Macaca mulatta: one gene and its partner. The protein of the gene in region 1 interacts with the protein of each later gene in a biochemical or structural test. Links are inferred from orthologs where the notes say so. Each region holds a gene or a part of one and is shown on either strand. Other genes may lie near its edges.

Region 1 (8,057 bases):
GTCTCGATCTCCTGACCTTGTGATCCGCCCGCCTCGGCCTCCCAAAGTGCTGGGATTACAGGCGTGAGCCACCGCGCCCGGCCAAGAATCTACATTGTCATTGTACCACTGTATTTTGTATAGAATGTTTCTGTGGGGAAGCCTGGTTTGTTTGTTTTTTTCCTCTAAAGTTCAACAACTTCTCTGTTGACTTTCCCTGGGACATGTGATACTATTTAAATCTTTAGATTCCAGGCTTTTCCCCTCTTCTTTTTCCTGGAAAGCTTTCTTTAAATATTGTTTTCTGCTCCATTATTTTATTTCTCTCTGTGTATGTTAGATGTCTTTTAGCTGCGTTCCATAGGTATCATTTTATTTCTGAACTTTTACATTTTTGTGTTTAATCTTGATTTTCTCAATCCTGTTTCCTACATCCTTTTTCTATGTTTTTATCAGTGACTAGTCTTTTTTTATATTGGCTTATATTGGTTTCAGTGTGACTTTCATTTCTCTGATGATTCACTATTTTCTTTCACTTTCTTGAGCCATACCAGCTCATCTTTCAGCTCTTTATGTTCTCTTGCCATATTTTTTCAAAGCTCTTTTTCTCTTTTTTTTTTTTTTTTGGAGGAATTGTTTTATTGAGTGGTGTTAAATTGTGACAGTATCTTTAGTCATAATTTTTATTTGCTCTGTGGCAACATTTTTCTGCTGAGTTTTCTTTCACTGCCATGTGTTCCCTACCTTTGCTCTCTGCTGATTATTACTTATATTTGAATATCTTGAGTTCTTCTTGGACTAGCTGCTTGCTAGTCTAGATGTACGTAAAGGGAAAGGTCATAATCATGTCCCAGACCAGCAGGAAATAACCCAATTTACTTAAGAGTCAGGGTTACATGTTGAGTTACTTTAGGTTTTATTAGTACACATAAATAGAGATCAGAAACTTTAGGGGTGCTTGGAGTGTAGAGTGCTGTGCCCATAGTCTTTTTTTGAAAAACACAGCGCATCTGTATGTTTCTGTGTTCAGTTTACCTTCCCTCTTTTTTGATAAAAATTTCTCCAGGGAAGCTCAAGTCACCAAGCATGCACCCTGTTCCTGTTTCTGCACATGAGAGGTATTGATTTTCTCCTCAGGGCATGCCATCCATTTTAAAGAATTATGTTTTGGCAGCTCTGTTTGAGATCTGCAGTCATCTCTCTCAGCATCTTCCTATCTGACTTATACTGCAATTGGCAACCATTTCTCATATATTGTGCCTTATTGTTAAAGATCTCTCCTGATTTTATTAGAGTTTGTTTTTCTGTTTTTCATTCTTGTTTTGGAGTAATTTCTAGAGAAGAAAAGAACAATGCCATTTTACGCTGCTGTTTTAGAATAGGAAGTTATTGTTTAGCGGACTTAGTAATATTTGACATTTTAATCTCTAGGTATTTTAATGAAGGGACTGTCTTGGCACATTATGCAGATGTCCTGGGTCTTTTGCTTAGATTGCGGCAAATTTGTTGCCATACTTACCTTCTTACAAATGCAGTGTCTTCCAGTGGCCCCTCAGGTAGGTAAATTTGATTGCTTCATATCATTGTTATTTGTCAGAGATACTTAGATAAGAATGATCAATTTTTTTTTTTTTTTTTTTTTGAGACGGAGTCTCGCTCTGTCGCCCAGGCTGGAGTGCAGTGGCCGGATCTCAGCTCACTGCAAGCTCCGCCTCCCGGGTTTACGCCGTTCTCCTGCCTCAGCCTCCCGAGTAGCTGGGACTACAGGCGCCCGCCACCTCGCCCGGCTAAGTTTTTTTTTTTTATTTTTTAGTAGAGACGGGGTTTCACCGTGTCAGCCAGGATGGTCTCGATCTCCTGACCTCGTGATCCGCCCGTCTCGGCCTCCCAAAGTGCTGGGATTACAGGCTTGAGCCACCGCGCCTGGCCCAGAATGATCAATTTTTTTTATGTAGCATACATTTAGTTTGTTATTTTGTTCTGTCAAATGGAGATTGCTTTTAGTGTGAGACTCAGCTAGGAATATATTCAATAATTTTTTTTACCAGTGAAATGGAATTATAATGAGGTCTTTCCAGGAATTCCAGTGATAGATACCCTTTGATGAAAGATTCATATTGGATCTGCCTTTTATTGTGTGCTGGTATGTCACTATCATGTTATAATGATGCTTCTCTATGAGGTATATTACGTGAGTTGGCTACTATTTTGGCTTCTGAATGTTTCTTAAATTTCAAATTTAAATTATGCTTTTTGCCTGTGACAGAAAATGATGAGAGACTTTCCCTACTGGCAAGCGAAACTTTTCCTTATATAAGGTAGATTAACTTGTCATATTACAAACCTTGCTCTGACATTAATTTTTCAGCCTTTTCTCTAGGAAATGATACACCTGAAGAACTGAGAAAGAAGTTAATAAGGAAGATGAAGTTAATTCTGAGCTCAGGTTCAGATGAAGAATGTGCAATTTGCCTGGATTCTTTAACAGTTCCTGTGATAACACATTGTGCACATGTATTTTGTAAACCCTGTATTTGCCAAGTCATTCAGAATGAGCAGGTTAGTTTTTTGCTCAGTAGAGGTTCAGTGTTTGATAGGGTAGTGTACCTGTCTTTAATAAAAGATAATATATGGAGTTTTACAATTGGATTTAATAATACACCTTTGATAGTTAATTATTCCAGTATTTTAATAAGTGATATATTTCTCCTAATGCAACACTTTCAACATAAAAAGATGTTCACAATCAATATCTTAATTCCACTAACTGTTTATATCATTGCTGTTCAATAAATGGATTGATAAAGTGAGACACAAAGGTAATTTTAAGTTTTCTAGTAGTCATACTCTTAAGTAAAAAGAAACATTAAGCTAATTTTAATACATTTGTATTTAACCCAGTATATCTAAAATATAAAAAGTATTAATGTGATGTGCTTTTTGCAAAAAACTAAATCTTCAGAATTTGGTGGTAGTGTATACTTATAGCACACCTCAATTTGGCTTAGCCACATTTCAAGGACTTAATTGCCCCATGTGATTATTGGCTATTGTGTTGGATAAGGTAGGTCTAGATTCTTTTGTGTGGTTGAATTTTTTTGAAGTAGACTAGTTTGTTAAGCAGTCATTCAGCTAGGGTAGAATTTTTTTAAACATTTTAAATTGATATATGTAGAAAAAATGTATAAATTCATGATTAAATAGCTCAGTGAATTATCATGAAGTAAATATATTCCTGTATCTACTGCCTAGGTCCCCTTGTGGCCCCTCCCAATCATTTACCCTCTCCCTCTTCCCCAAAAGTAACCCCATTGTACTGACTTTTAAATAATTTTACCTTCAGAATTATTTTATTGTAATGGTGTTTTATATATAGTTATTTAAGATATTTTATTAGCAAGTTCAAATGGGTACAACAGATGTTGCTTTGGAATGAACTTGATAGGATTTAACAGATCCTAGTAGCTTTATAAGCTGTTATTAGCTTTATAAGCTTAATAGCTTTATAAGCCATTAAGATGGATTTTTTTTTTTAAGAATAGTACTAAATAGTGTAGCTCTATTGTATTTAGGTTCAATAAACTGTTATTCATGACTTTTTTTTAAACTTGCTTACAAACGTTATAATGTTTAGTTTCTTGCTGTTGCTTCTAGCTAGTCCAGATCACATATGTTTGCTCCCTCCTTTACCCATTCTACTTATCACATGTCTGGAATTCAGCAGGTTCAGATGTCTCTTAAATGGATGAAATCTATTAAAAGGTTTAATAAAATGTTAGCTATAAGAGATACAGATTTTAGCATACATTTAAAAATTTTTAGGCATATTTATATTTGTTCTTCTGTTAAGTGTTGCTCATACTTTTTTCTTTCTTATATAGCCACATGCTAAATGCCCTTTATGCAGAAATGATATACATGAAGATAATTTATTAGAATGTCCTCCAGAAGAATTAGCATGTGACAGTGAGAAAAAGTCTGATATGGAATGGACATCCAGTTCAAAGGTAGAGTACTCAGGTGCAAATATTTGAGTATTTGTTTAACCTTTATATAAGGAAATATACACAGTATATCAAAATCATAATTCTGCTTTCATTCCTGTCATTTTAGTATTCTGTTGTTGACCACTGTTTATTCTTAGTGGTGAATTTGAGAGGAAATAGAATGGGTTCAGATTATTATAGTGTTCTTTCAGTCTTAATTCTTTGTTTTAAATGAGTAGTCTTTTGCATTTTAGGGAAATAATATTTCAGGACTTTATGATAAAAACTTTCAGACTAATTTTACTGATTTAAAATGGAATCTAACGGACATCTTAATATTTTTTCAGATTAATGCGCTAATGCACGCATTGACTGACTTAAGAAAGAAGAATCCCAACATAAAAAGTTTGGTTGTTTCTCAGTTTACAACATTCCTGTCTTTAATAGAAATACCACTTAAGTAAGTTCCACGGTGTTTTTCACTTTCAGTAAAAGGATTTTATATGATTGTATTGATTTGAATAGCAAAAAAAAAATAAAAAGCTTATTTCTTTTGCCAGTTTTAGTCATTTTATCTGAAAGATACTGAGAGTCACAATAGAGAATACTTCCTGGCAGCACAGGAGTTTAAAGATTAAGTCCTGAATTTATCAGAAAATGACTGACTGCAGTGTCTAGCATATTAATAAGTGTTCAGTAAACATTTGTTAACATAAATGAGTGAAAGACTTTATTGAAGAGATTTGTGGTTACTTAACTCTGTTTTATTTTTATAATGATAGTGTTTGTTGCTTGTTTCTTTTCTTCCCCCATTAAGAGCCTCTGGATTTGTGTTTACTCGTTTGGATGGTTCCATGGCCCAAAAGAAAAGAGTTGAATCAATTCAGTGTTTTCAAAACACTGAAGCAGGATCTCCAACTATAATGCTTCTGTCCTTAAAAGCAGGTGGAGTTGGTTTGAATCTGTCTGCAGCTTCTCGAGTGTTTTTAATGGATCCAGTAAGTAGTTTTGTAAATTTTTTCAGAACCTTAGTACTTCTTTCAAAAAAATAGACAAAAAAAAAGTGGTAAATACCTTCATAGTTATAATTAACTGTGAATATTCTTAGGCAAACTTTAGAAATAGATAACAAAAACTTAGTAAATGTAGATTAAGAGCTTTCTCTTAAGCACTTTACTGAAATCCTCACAACATCCTTATGAGGTAGATAACCATTATTAAATGCTGTGTTTTGGCCAGGCGCTGTGGCGCATGCCTGTAATCCCAGCAATTTGGGAGGCCAAGGTGAATGGATTGCCTGAGCTCAGGAGTTTGAGAGCAGCCTGGGCAACATGGCAACATGGCAAAACCCCATCTCTACAAAAAAAAAAGTACCAGAAAAGTTACTCGGGTGTGGTGGTGTGTGCTTGTAGTCCCAGCTACTTGCTGGGCTGAGTCGGAAAGACTGATTGCTTGAGCCCAGGAGGTTGAAGTTTCAGTGAGCCATGTTCCTGTCACTGCACTCCAGCCTGGGTGACAGAACAAGAACCCGTCTCTGAAAGAAAAAAAAGAAAAAAAAAGCTCTGTTTTACTGAAGAGGCAACTGAAGCACAGAAAAGTAAATAATGTGCCCAGTATCACACAGTTTAATGGGCAAAACCAGAATCATAGTCCATGTATTTAAGTACTATTATGCTATGCTATTCTACTTTTCTTCTATAATAAATCTTTATTAACCATAATGCTTTTTAGGGTAGTGGTTCATTCAGCTGACAAATAATGAGATCCTGCTTTGTGTCAGTTGTTATAGGCACTGGGAATCTAATTATAAACAAGATAGACAAAATGACTACCATCATGGTTCTAGTGGTCTTAAGCTTTAATGTGCATACAAATTAGGTAAATGCAATTTCTTTTGCATTTAACTTAGAGACTTAGGCGTTCTAGGATTAGACTCAGGAAGCTGCATTTTTAGCATATCATAGGTGATTCAGGTATAGGTGGTCTAGGATCACAATTTGAGAAACAAATGGTCATTAATGGAATGTTCTGAGTACATTTTAATGCCTAATACAGTGCAGTCACTTGTGGTTGTGTGTAGTACAGGCATAAGGGTAGAACAGAGGCTAAAATTCACTTTGAACTTGACTCACCAAGCTGTGTCACCTGGACCTGCTTTCACATAGGAACATGTTTTTCTACATGTACAGAGGGGCTGTTTGGCTTGAAAGGACCTTGGACTAATTCAGTTTCTAATTTGCACTAGGTACTATGTGGGCTAGAGGCAACCTTTGCTGTTTCTGTGCATTCAGACTTAAGATTTGTGGTTGTAGCTTGTTGCCTGAAACTCAGAAGATTTTTAACATGTAGAAATTCTACTGAGATACAAATTTTAGTTACTTGGGTGAGGCTACCTTGTTGATGCATATATGTTTACTGAGGCTTCCTTTTTCCTCCCTCCACTGAGGGTATCCTTCTCAGTAAGATTGGGTATCCTCAGCAAGATTATAACTCGGGTCATCATACTTAGGCCTTCATGGGTGAATATCGTGGATATGGTATGGTCTGTTGTATTTCCCCCTTTTTCTTTTTTTTTTGAGATGGAGTTTTGCTCTGTCGCCCATGCTGGAGTGTTGTGGCGCGATCTTGGCTCACTGCAACTTACATCTCCTGGGTTCAAGCAGTTCTCTGCCTCAGTCTCCTGAGTAGCTGGGATTACAGGCACCTGCCACCATGCCTGGCTAATTTTTGTATTTTTAGTAGAGATGGGGTTTTACCATGTTGGCCAGGCTGATCTTGAACTCCTGACCTCGTGATCCACCTGCCTTGGCCTCCCAGAGTGCTGGGATTACAGGCGTGAGCCACTGCACCCGGCCGGTCTGTTGTATTTTCTTTAGTACTGTGGATAAAGTTTTAAACCTTTGTTGCAGTATTTTATGGCTACTATACAAAAATATAGTATATCGCGCCACTGTACTCCAGCCTGGTTACAGAGCAAGACTCCATCTCAAAAAAAAAAAAAAAAAAAAAAAAAACACTTGTAGTTTTAATTTAAAATTTAATGATCCTTATCCAAACAATTCATGATTCATGATACTATTTAAAAACCACTTACCAGAGTTCTGTATCTTTTTGGTTATTCTTCCCTTTTCATTGTTGCACCATTTTATTCTTTTTTTTTTTTTTTTTTTTTTTTTGAGATGGAGTCTCACTCTGTCACCCAGGCTGGAGTGCAGTGGCGTGATCTCGGCTCACTGCAAGCTCCGCCTCCCAGGTTCACGCCATTCTCCTGCCTCAGCCTCCCGAGTAGCTGGGACTACAGGTGCCCGCCACCACGCCCGGCTAATTTTTTTTGTATTTTTAGTAGAGACGGGGTTTCACCATGTTAGCCAGGATAGTCTCGATCTCCTGACTTCGTGATCCGCCTGTCTCAGCCTCCCAAAGTGCTGGGATTACAGGCGTGAGCCACTGCACCCAGCCCATCATTTTATTCGTTAGCTTAAAACAATTCTCATGATCAGGTCTGTGTTAATTAGCTAATGGTACTTTTTTTAGCTCAGCTTTAAAGTCAAACTAACTTCAAATACTGATACAGAAAATTGCATCAAAAAAACAATTTTTAGGACTTCTGACTCTTAAAACCCTTTTTTAATACTTTTATTTCATGAACAGAGGAAAGTGCAAGAAAACCAGAAAAGGGGGAGAAAACTTTTTTATAAATAGGCCCAAGAATTGCATCTTTTCTCATATAAATTAAGTCACCTAAGAGGATGTATAAACTTTTTCTGCTGTTAAGCACACATAGATTCTTTTAAAAATGAAAAAAAAAAAAAAAAACCCAGAAATTGATTAATCAACAAATACTTATTTTGGGTGCTAACACATATGTTGGGCCCTGTATTAGGTATTAGAAGTAGTAGTATGGGGAGGATGCCTGTTATCATAGTGATTGGGAGGGTGGATTTTTCTCCCACAATATTTGTGATGTTAGTATCTGACTTCAGGCAGAAAACTTTCAGTCAGAAAAAGATGAATGAATACTAGTGAAATGAAAGGACAAATGCAAAACACTCAAAGATCAGGGCAGTAATAAAGCAACTCATCCATGTTCTT
Region 2 (8,057 bases), on another chromosome or scaffold:
ATCCTTCAGAAAAGAGCTTTGGTTTTTTGTTTGTTTGTTTGTTTGTTTTTTAACTTAAAAGGAATTGAGGTAGAATTTACATGTAGTGAAATGCACAGATGTGCCGTGAGTTTGACAAATGTAGCTTGTTACCCCTACGGAAATAAAGAACATTCCCGTCAGTCCAGAAAGCTCCCTGTGCCCTTTCCCACACCCACCCCTGCTTCCTGCACCTGAGAGATCTGCATGTTGTAGAGCTTTGATAAGTAGGGTCATGTAGTGTGTACACTTACGGTTCTCGTCTTTACTCAGCATGAAGTCTGAGCAATTCAGTTGTGTTATCTCAGGTAGTAGGAGTGTGTTTCTTTTTATTGTTGAATAGTATGTTACTATATGGATATACCACAGTGTGTTTATCAATTTTTTTAATGGACATTTGGATTTAATCTACATTATTGCTTTTACAAATAAAGCTGCTATGGGCATTCTTGTAGAAGTCTTTTTGTGAACATGTTTGTTTCCATTTCGTTTGGGTAAATGCCTAGGAATAGAATTGCTGTATCAGGGCCGGGCGCGGTGGCTTGCGCCAGTAATCCCAGCACTTTGGGAGGCCGAGGCGGGCAGATCATGAGGTCAGGAGATCGAGACCATCCTTGCTAACACGGTGAAACCCCGTCTCTACTAAAAATACCAAAAATTAGCCAGGCGTGGTGGCGGGTGCCTGTAGTCCCAGCTACTTGGGAGGCTGAGGCAGGAGAATGGCGTGAACCCGGGAGGTGGAGCTTGCAGTGAGTGAGTCGAGATCGCTCCACTGCACTCCGACCTGGGCGACAGCAAGACTCCGTCTCAAAAAAAAAAAAAAAAAGAATTGCTCTATCATAGGGGTGTCTGATATGCATCCAGATTGGAGAACCACAGCCAAGATAATCTTTAGATCTATCTGATTTTAGTCATTTTTATATATTGAAAGTGCTGGGGATATTATTAATATTTGCTTGCTATTAATCTCAGATAAGTTTTATATAGCTTTTTTTCTTAAAAATATTGAAATATTTAATAACATACATATAAGATTGTTGCATAGGTTTTACATTAGAGTAGTTTAATACTGCAAATCTGACCTCCATTTGGATAGTTCTTGTTTATGGGGACGGGATCAGTTTGAGTAGGTGAGATCTGTAGATGGTTGATTAGCTTCCTCCCTCTCTGGTCTTATTCAGCAGCCAGCAGGTATTAAATTTTTCACTTTCATTTATTTATGTATATATTTTTATGTTATTTTAATTATAATTTAGAAAATTTATTAAAATTTCAATAATTATAAATTCTTTTTAAAACAATTTTTTTCTTTTTAATTGAGTCAAGGTGAGGATTCATTTATTTTTTTTTTGGTATTTTTTTTTTTTTTTGAGATGGAGTCTTGCTCTGTTGCCCGGGCTGGAGTGCAGTGGCCGGATCTCAGCTCTCTGCAAACTCCCCCTCCCGGGTTTATGCCATTCTCCTGCCTCAGCCTCCCGTGTAGCTGGGACTACAGGCGCCCGCCACCTCGCCCAGCTAGTTTTTTGTATTTTTTAGTAGAGACGGGGTTTCACCGTGTTAGCCAGGATGGTCTCGATCTCCTGACCTCGTGATCCGCCCATCTTGGCCTCCCAAAGTGCTGGGATTACAGGCTTGAGCCACTGCGCCCGGTCAAGGATTCGTTTATTTTTTACTTTGCTGTTTTAATGGTACACTAATAAGTTAACCAAGTGAACAAAAGCTATAGGAGAAAGAAGAGCTAATTTATAGGCATGAAAATAAGCCCTGGATAATCTAGAAGCTTTAAGTTTGATACCTATTTGAAAATGATGTGTAAACATAAAGTTTGCTATTGTTTCTCTGAATTCAGATAATGGGATTTAATGAACCTCAAAATTAATGAAGTAGCAACGTAAGTGTAACTAACAGGAGACATAAAATAATTATGTTTTATTGCTGCACAATGGTATAATGTGGGGTTTTCTTTTTTGCTAGAAGTTATTGATTGCCATATTAAGTAGGATGATCATATAATTTGTTATCCAACAAGACCCTTTTGAGAATGAAAACAGGCACTATTAATAGTCAATTCTGGAACAATAGGAATAAGCAGAACTGTTGTGTAAAACAGAAACCTCATATATGTTTGACACAAGTCTCAAGTAGCCCCTCCCTCTACAATGTAAACTTTTTAGCAAAATCTAAATTTAAGTGGTTTGGTTTTTCCTTTTTCCTTCTTCCTTCTAATTTGTTACAGGCATCATTTTTTATCACAAAAGCAAGTTGTGATCATATTGATAATACTTTGTAGAATTAATTTGGGAAGATCTCATGCAATTAATTTTGTAAAATCTCAATTTTTAAGTATGCTTATTGCATTTTTTCTCACCATAGAGGTGAAATAAATTTGAATGTGGAAAAATAAATTCTTAATCATAAACAGTGTCTTATCAAGTACATTCATATTGTACTTTTCCTTTTTTTTTTTTTTTAGCACTTAGACATTAATATTTTAGGTATTGTTATTTTGATTGTCTTTTTGTTTTTTGCCTTCCAGACAAATTATGAAAACAGAATATATAGCCTGAAAGTAGAATGTGGACCTAAATACCCAGAAGCTCCTCCGTCAGTTAGATTTGTAACAAAAATTAATATGAATGGAATAAATAATTCCAGTGGGATGGTAAGTTAATATAGTCATATTGGTTTTATATAACATAATGTATAGAGTTATATGTTAATTATACATACACACAGCATAATATGTGTAAGATATTAATATGTAGTTAGGAGAAAGTTTTTAAAAGAGGACTTTTGTTAAGCCAGAAGTCTAAAGAAGGTTGCATTATGTTGTTTTTATTTTATTAATATAAATTAGGCCATCCTTAAAAACCTTAATGTGCTTGCCTGGAATAGATGTATGTGGTGGTTAAAACTTTTTTTTTTCTTTCTTTTTTTTTTTTCTGGAAACAGAGTCTCACTCTGTCGCCCAGGCTGGAGTACAATAGTGTGATCTCGGCTCACTGCAACATCCGCCTCCTGGGTTCAAGCGATTCTCCTGCCTCAGCCTCCCGAGTAGCTGGGATTACGGGCACCCACCATCATGCCCGGTTAATTTTTGTGTTTTTGTAGAGACGGGGTTTCACAGTGTTTGGCCAGGCTGGTCTCGAACTCCTGACCTTAGGTGATCCGCCTGCCTCGGCCTCCCAAAATGCTGGGATTACAGATGTGAGCCACTGTGCCTGGCCAAAAGTTTTCTTAGGGTTTTAATTGCCTTAGTAGTCATATTTCAGTTGATCTTTATTTGGTAAAAAGATGACCATTATTGGGCGGGGCATGGTGCTCACTCCCGTAGAGATTGTGCCACTGCACTCCAGCCTGGGCGAAAGAGTGAAACGCCGTCAAAAATAAAGATGATCATTATTTCTCTTTGAATGTTACTTTTCTGAGGTTTAAGGTACACTTGGTGGGATTAAAAGGATGACTATTCATGAAAAGGATGAATATTCATAAAGGGTTTTTTCTTTGAGGAGCAAGTGTATCTGTGTTGAAACAATCATGGCTGAGCATCATTGTCTGTTTATTTTTGGGTTTTACTCTGTCCCCCAGGCTGTAGTGCAGTGGTACTCCCCCACTTCCCCTGGCCTCAAGTGATTCTCCCACTTCAGCCTCCCAAGTACGTGAGACTACAAGGCACATGCCACCAAGCCCAGCTAATTTTTATATTTTTTGGTAGAGATGGGGTTTTGTCATGTTGGCCAGGCTGGACTCAAACTCCTGACCTCAAGTGATCCGCCCACCTTGGCCTCCCAAAGTGCTGGGATTACAGGCGTGAGCCACTGTGTCCAGCCTATTGTCTCTTTAAACAAAATGACATGCCCTGCTTGACCCACACAAGTTAGTTAGTAGAAACAGCTGAATTTCCAATATGAGTAGATTGTTAAGTTCATGATAAGTCTTTGAAGCCTAGGCTCTCTTGGTGCCATGTTGAGAGCACACCACATACAAAATACATTTTAGGAAGCAAAATAACATATCATCATCATAAAATTAGTATCATCCATCTTAGGAAATAGGATCTCAGTATCCTTGATTTCTCATCCCATCCCTGTGTTTCCTCTCTCTACCAGTGTATTTTGTACTACAAATGTATCACATATGTACACAAATTCATCCTCCTTTCTTCTCTCCTTCTCTCTTTCCTTCTCATCTATTTACCATCTGTTAAAAACCACGAGTTTATACTAACAACTCCCACTAATTTTATTCTAAGACTATAGGGTTTGTTCTGTGATTCTTCCTTTCCATTTGAGAAACCTGGCTCCCATGCTCCCCAATGCATTTACTTATTTACTCAATTTCCCCTTCATATAACTGTATTTCTGGCAACAAGTTGAATCTTGGATTCACAGCCAGCTCCCTGCCCCTCATCCCCAACGTAATTCCCAGGTCTGAGGCAGGGCCCCAGATTGGCTGGTGCGTCCAGCAGGGAGGCACCAGGCCAAATAAAGCATGACCCTGAGAAAGGAAGAAGGTGGGAAAAGGTCATTGGAAACCTTAGCCCTGCACCTGCTGGGCCATTAACACCCCCCACACCCCTCCCACTGCCCACCCCTGTGCCAACTCAGAGCTGGGACCTGACAGTCTCTCTAGCCCTCACAGTCCTCAGTTGATCAGTCTTTGTGATTTACTGGGAGCATTTAGTCCATTTACATTTATTTTTTTTTTTTTTTTTTTTTTTTTTTTTTGAGACGGAGTCTCACGCTGTTGCCCAGGCTGGAGTGCAGTGGCGCGATCTCGGCTCACTGCAAGCTCCGCCTCCCGGGTTCCCGCCATTCTCCTGCCTCAGCCTCCTGAGTAGCTGGGACTACAGGCGCCCGCCACCGCGCCCGGCTAATTTTTTGTATTTTTAGTAGAGACGGGGTTTCACTGTGGTCTCGATCTCCTGACCTTGTGATCCGCCCGCCTCGGCCTCCCAAAGTGCTGGGATTACAGGCTTGAGCCACCGCGCCCGGCCTTATTTACATTTAATATACATAATTACTTACATGTTCAGGTTTAAATAGATCATCTTAGTTGGTGGTTTCTGTTTTTCTGCATGTTTCTTGCCTACTTTTGGAATGGTTGTTCTCAACTTCTTTCATTCTGTTTGTGTTCTTTCAGTGGTTATTCTAGAAATTATGTACACTTATCTTTTTTTTTTTTTTTTTTTTTTTTTTTGAGACGGAGTCTCACGCTGTTGCCCAGGCTGGAGTGCAGTGGCGCGATCTCGGCTCACTGCAAGCTCCGCCTCCTGGGTTCACGCCATTCTCCTGTCTCAGCCTCCTGAGTAGCTAGGACTACAGGCGCCCGCCACCGCGCCCGGCTAATTTTTTGTATTTTCAGTAGAGACGGGGTTTCACTGTGGTCTCGATCTCCTGACCTTGTGATCCGCCCGCCTCGGCCTCCCAAAGTGCTGGGATTACAGGCTTGAGCCACCGCGCCCGGCCACACTTATCTATTTTTAAGAAATTTGATAGCAGCAGGATTATAAAGCATATGAGTACACAGAAAGGATATTATTTAGGGAATGTCCTGTGTGACGCACAGCATTGCCTTTATGAAGAAGATCTTTGTTAGATTTTGCTACTAGATGTATCTGTTTTTCTCCACTACTGGTTTGTTTTTACATTATAGTTGCTGTAAATTAAGTAACCAATGGTGTGTTCTACATTGTCATGGAAGCTAGGAAATTTAGATTAAATTTCAGACCTACCTCTAATAAGCTTATCTGATCTCCTGGGCTTTTGGTCCATTAGTTGATATTTTGCATCCCTCTCTACCTCCCTTCTCCCAACCCATTTATCATTAAGCCTTGTCAGTTTTATGTTCCAACTGTAACTCGATTTAGGTCTTGTTTTTCTGTTTACATTGCCACCAAGTGAATATTGGCCATCATTTATTTCCTGGACTCTTGCAACAACATCTCTGATTCTGCTTTTTAAAATCCCTTCCAATCTTTCCAAAGTTAGCAGCCAGAGGGATCCTCCTAAGAGACAAATTGTGTCATGTCATTTCTGCACTTCAGATTCCTTTAGGGGCATCAGCCTCAGCATGCTTGCTTCTTGCCATGGCTCACTGGGTGGGAATGCTCAAGGTGCACACTGGCTTGCATGCCTTTCGTTTGGTCTCAAGACATTTGCACTTCTGCTCTTCCTCCTTCCTCCACAGTCTGGCTAACTCCTATGGGTCCTTCATTTCTCACTGTAAATTCCCCTTTCTTTTTTATTGAGACAGAGTCTTGCTCTGTCACTCAGGTTGGAGTGCAGTGGCACTGTCTTGCTCACTGCGACCTCCATCTCCTGGGTTTAAGTGATTCTCCTGCCTTAGCCTCCGAAGTAGCTGGGACTACAAGTGTGTGCCACAACACCTGGCTAATTTAATACAGATGGGGGTTTGCCATGTTGGCTAGGCTGTTCTCGGACTCCTGACCCGCGTTGGCCTCCGAAAGTGCTGGGATTACAGGCATGAGCCACCGCACCCAGCCTAAATTCCACTTTTTAACAGAACTCTTTATTGATGTTCCAACTTGAGTTATGTCCCTTCTATTGCTCTGTTATAGTCACTCTTATTCTTTTGTTGCACTTACTATAAATTTATTATTTTTTTGATTTTAAAAGAAATGTTTCTAATATAATAGAGGAAGTTTTAGAGAATGATAGAACCAGCATCTATGTGTCCTCCACCTAGCTTTGTCAAATGTTAACATTTGTCTTATTTGTAACAGATTTTTTTCTTTTTATTTTGAGAGAGTCTCACTCTGTCTCCCAGGCTGGAGTGCAGTCACGCGATCTTGGCTCACTGCAACATCTGTCTCCTGGGTTCAAGCAATTCTCCTGCCTCAGCCTCCCAAGTAGCTGGGACCACAGGCATGTGCCACCACGCCCAGCTAATTTTTTTGTATTTTTAATAGAGATGCGGTTTCACCATATTGGTTAGGCTGGTCTCAAACTCTTGACCTCAAATGATCCACCCGCCTCGGCCCCCCAAAGTGCTGAGATTACAGGTGTGAGCCACCCTGCCCGCCCAGATTTTTTTCTTACTGGTACAAAGACTACATTATAAATAGAGTTAATTCTGTGTGTGGCTTTCTCTTGTTTCCCCTTCCTATTTTTTTTGAGATGGGGTTTTGCTCTTGTCGCTCGGGCTGGAGTGCGGTGGCACAATCTCAGCTCACTGCAACCTCTGCCTCCTGGGTTCAAGTGATTCTCCCGCCTCAGCCTCATAAGTAGCTGGGATTATAGGTGCCCGCCAACACGCCTGGCTAATTTTTGTATTTTTAGTAGAGATGGGGTTTCACCACGTTGGCCAGGCTGGTCTCAAACTCCTGACATCAGGTGATCTGCCTGCCTCGGCCTCCCAAAGTGCTGGGTGGGATTACAGGCGTGAGCCACTATGTCTAGCCAAGTTTAAAATTTTTAAATTAAAATGTTCTCCGTCAGATTGCTGTAAAACTTTCTAAATTCTTACTCTCAATTGCAATGTTTTTCTTGTCAAGGACCAGTAGAATTCAGTTCGTGGCCTGCCCCTTTCCATGGACATACCTTGAGTAGCGCTATTCTCGGAATACATCTAGAAGTGTGCCGTGGCGTGGGGCTTTCTTCAGCTTGAATATTGCCAAGCTGCTCTCCGCAGGGCCAGGTCAATGTCAGCCCCACCAGTGGCGTATAACAGGACCCTGTGAATGTATATTCCCACCAACCCTTCTTACTGTCAATCTGGAATGGGGACTGGGAAACAGAAAAATAAATACTGATTTTAATCATTATTGGAGTGTAGATGTGTGTATAGAGGGTTGTGGGTAGGGTGAATATATTGGACATCTGTTTTTCTCTTCCATTTACATCTAAGAGATTGGATTATTACTTTTTTTTTTTTTTTTGAGACGGAGTCTCGCTCTGTCACCCAGGCTGGAGTGCAGTGGCCGGATCTCAGCTCACTGCAAGCTCCGCCTCCCGGGTTCATGCCATTCTCCTGCCTCAGCCTCCCGAGTAGCTGGGACTACAGGTGCCTGCCACCTC

Evidence for each region.
Region 2: the proteins of HLTF (region 1) and UBE2V2 form a complex in vitro, tested with the Homo sapiens proteins (2 studies listed by BioGRID). The link is inferred for Macaca mulatta from reciprocal best matches to the Homo sapiens genes HLTF and UBE2V2.

The regions. Positions count from the first base shown.
Region 1 is NC_133407.1:52,036,813-52,044,869, reverse strand, and holds part of HLTF (helicase-like transcription factor), read left to right. Parts: intron 1-1,410; coding exon 1,411-1,535; intron 1,536-2,347; coding exon 2,348-2,538; intron 2,539-3,860; coding exon 3,861-3,986; intron 3,987-4,312; coding exon 4,313-4,425; intron 4,426-4,782; coding exon 4,783-4,963; intron 4,964-8,057. UniProt on the Homo sapiens protein: Has both helicase and E3 ubiquitin ligase activities. Possesses intrinsic ATP-dependent nucleosome-remodeling activity; This activity may be required for transcriptional activation or repression of specific target promoters.
Region 2 is NC_133413.1:58,595,239-58,603,295, forward strand, and holds part of UBE2V2 (ubiquitin-conjugating enzyme E2 variant 2), read left to right. Parts: intron 1-2,554; coding exon 2,555-2,680; intron 2,681-8,057. UniProt on the Homo sapiens protein: Has no ubiquitin ligase activity on its own. The UBE2V2/UBE2N heterodimer catalyzes the synthesis of non-canonical poly-ubiquitin chains that are linked through 'Lys-63'. This type of poly-ubiquitination does not lead to protein degradation by the proteasome.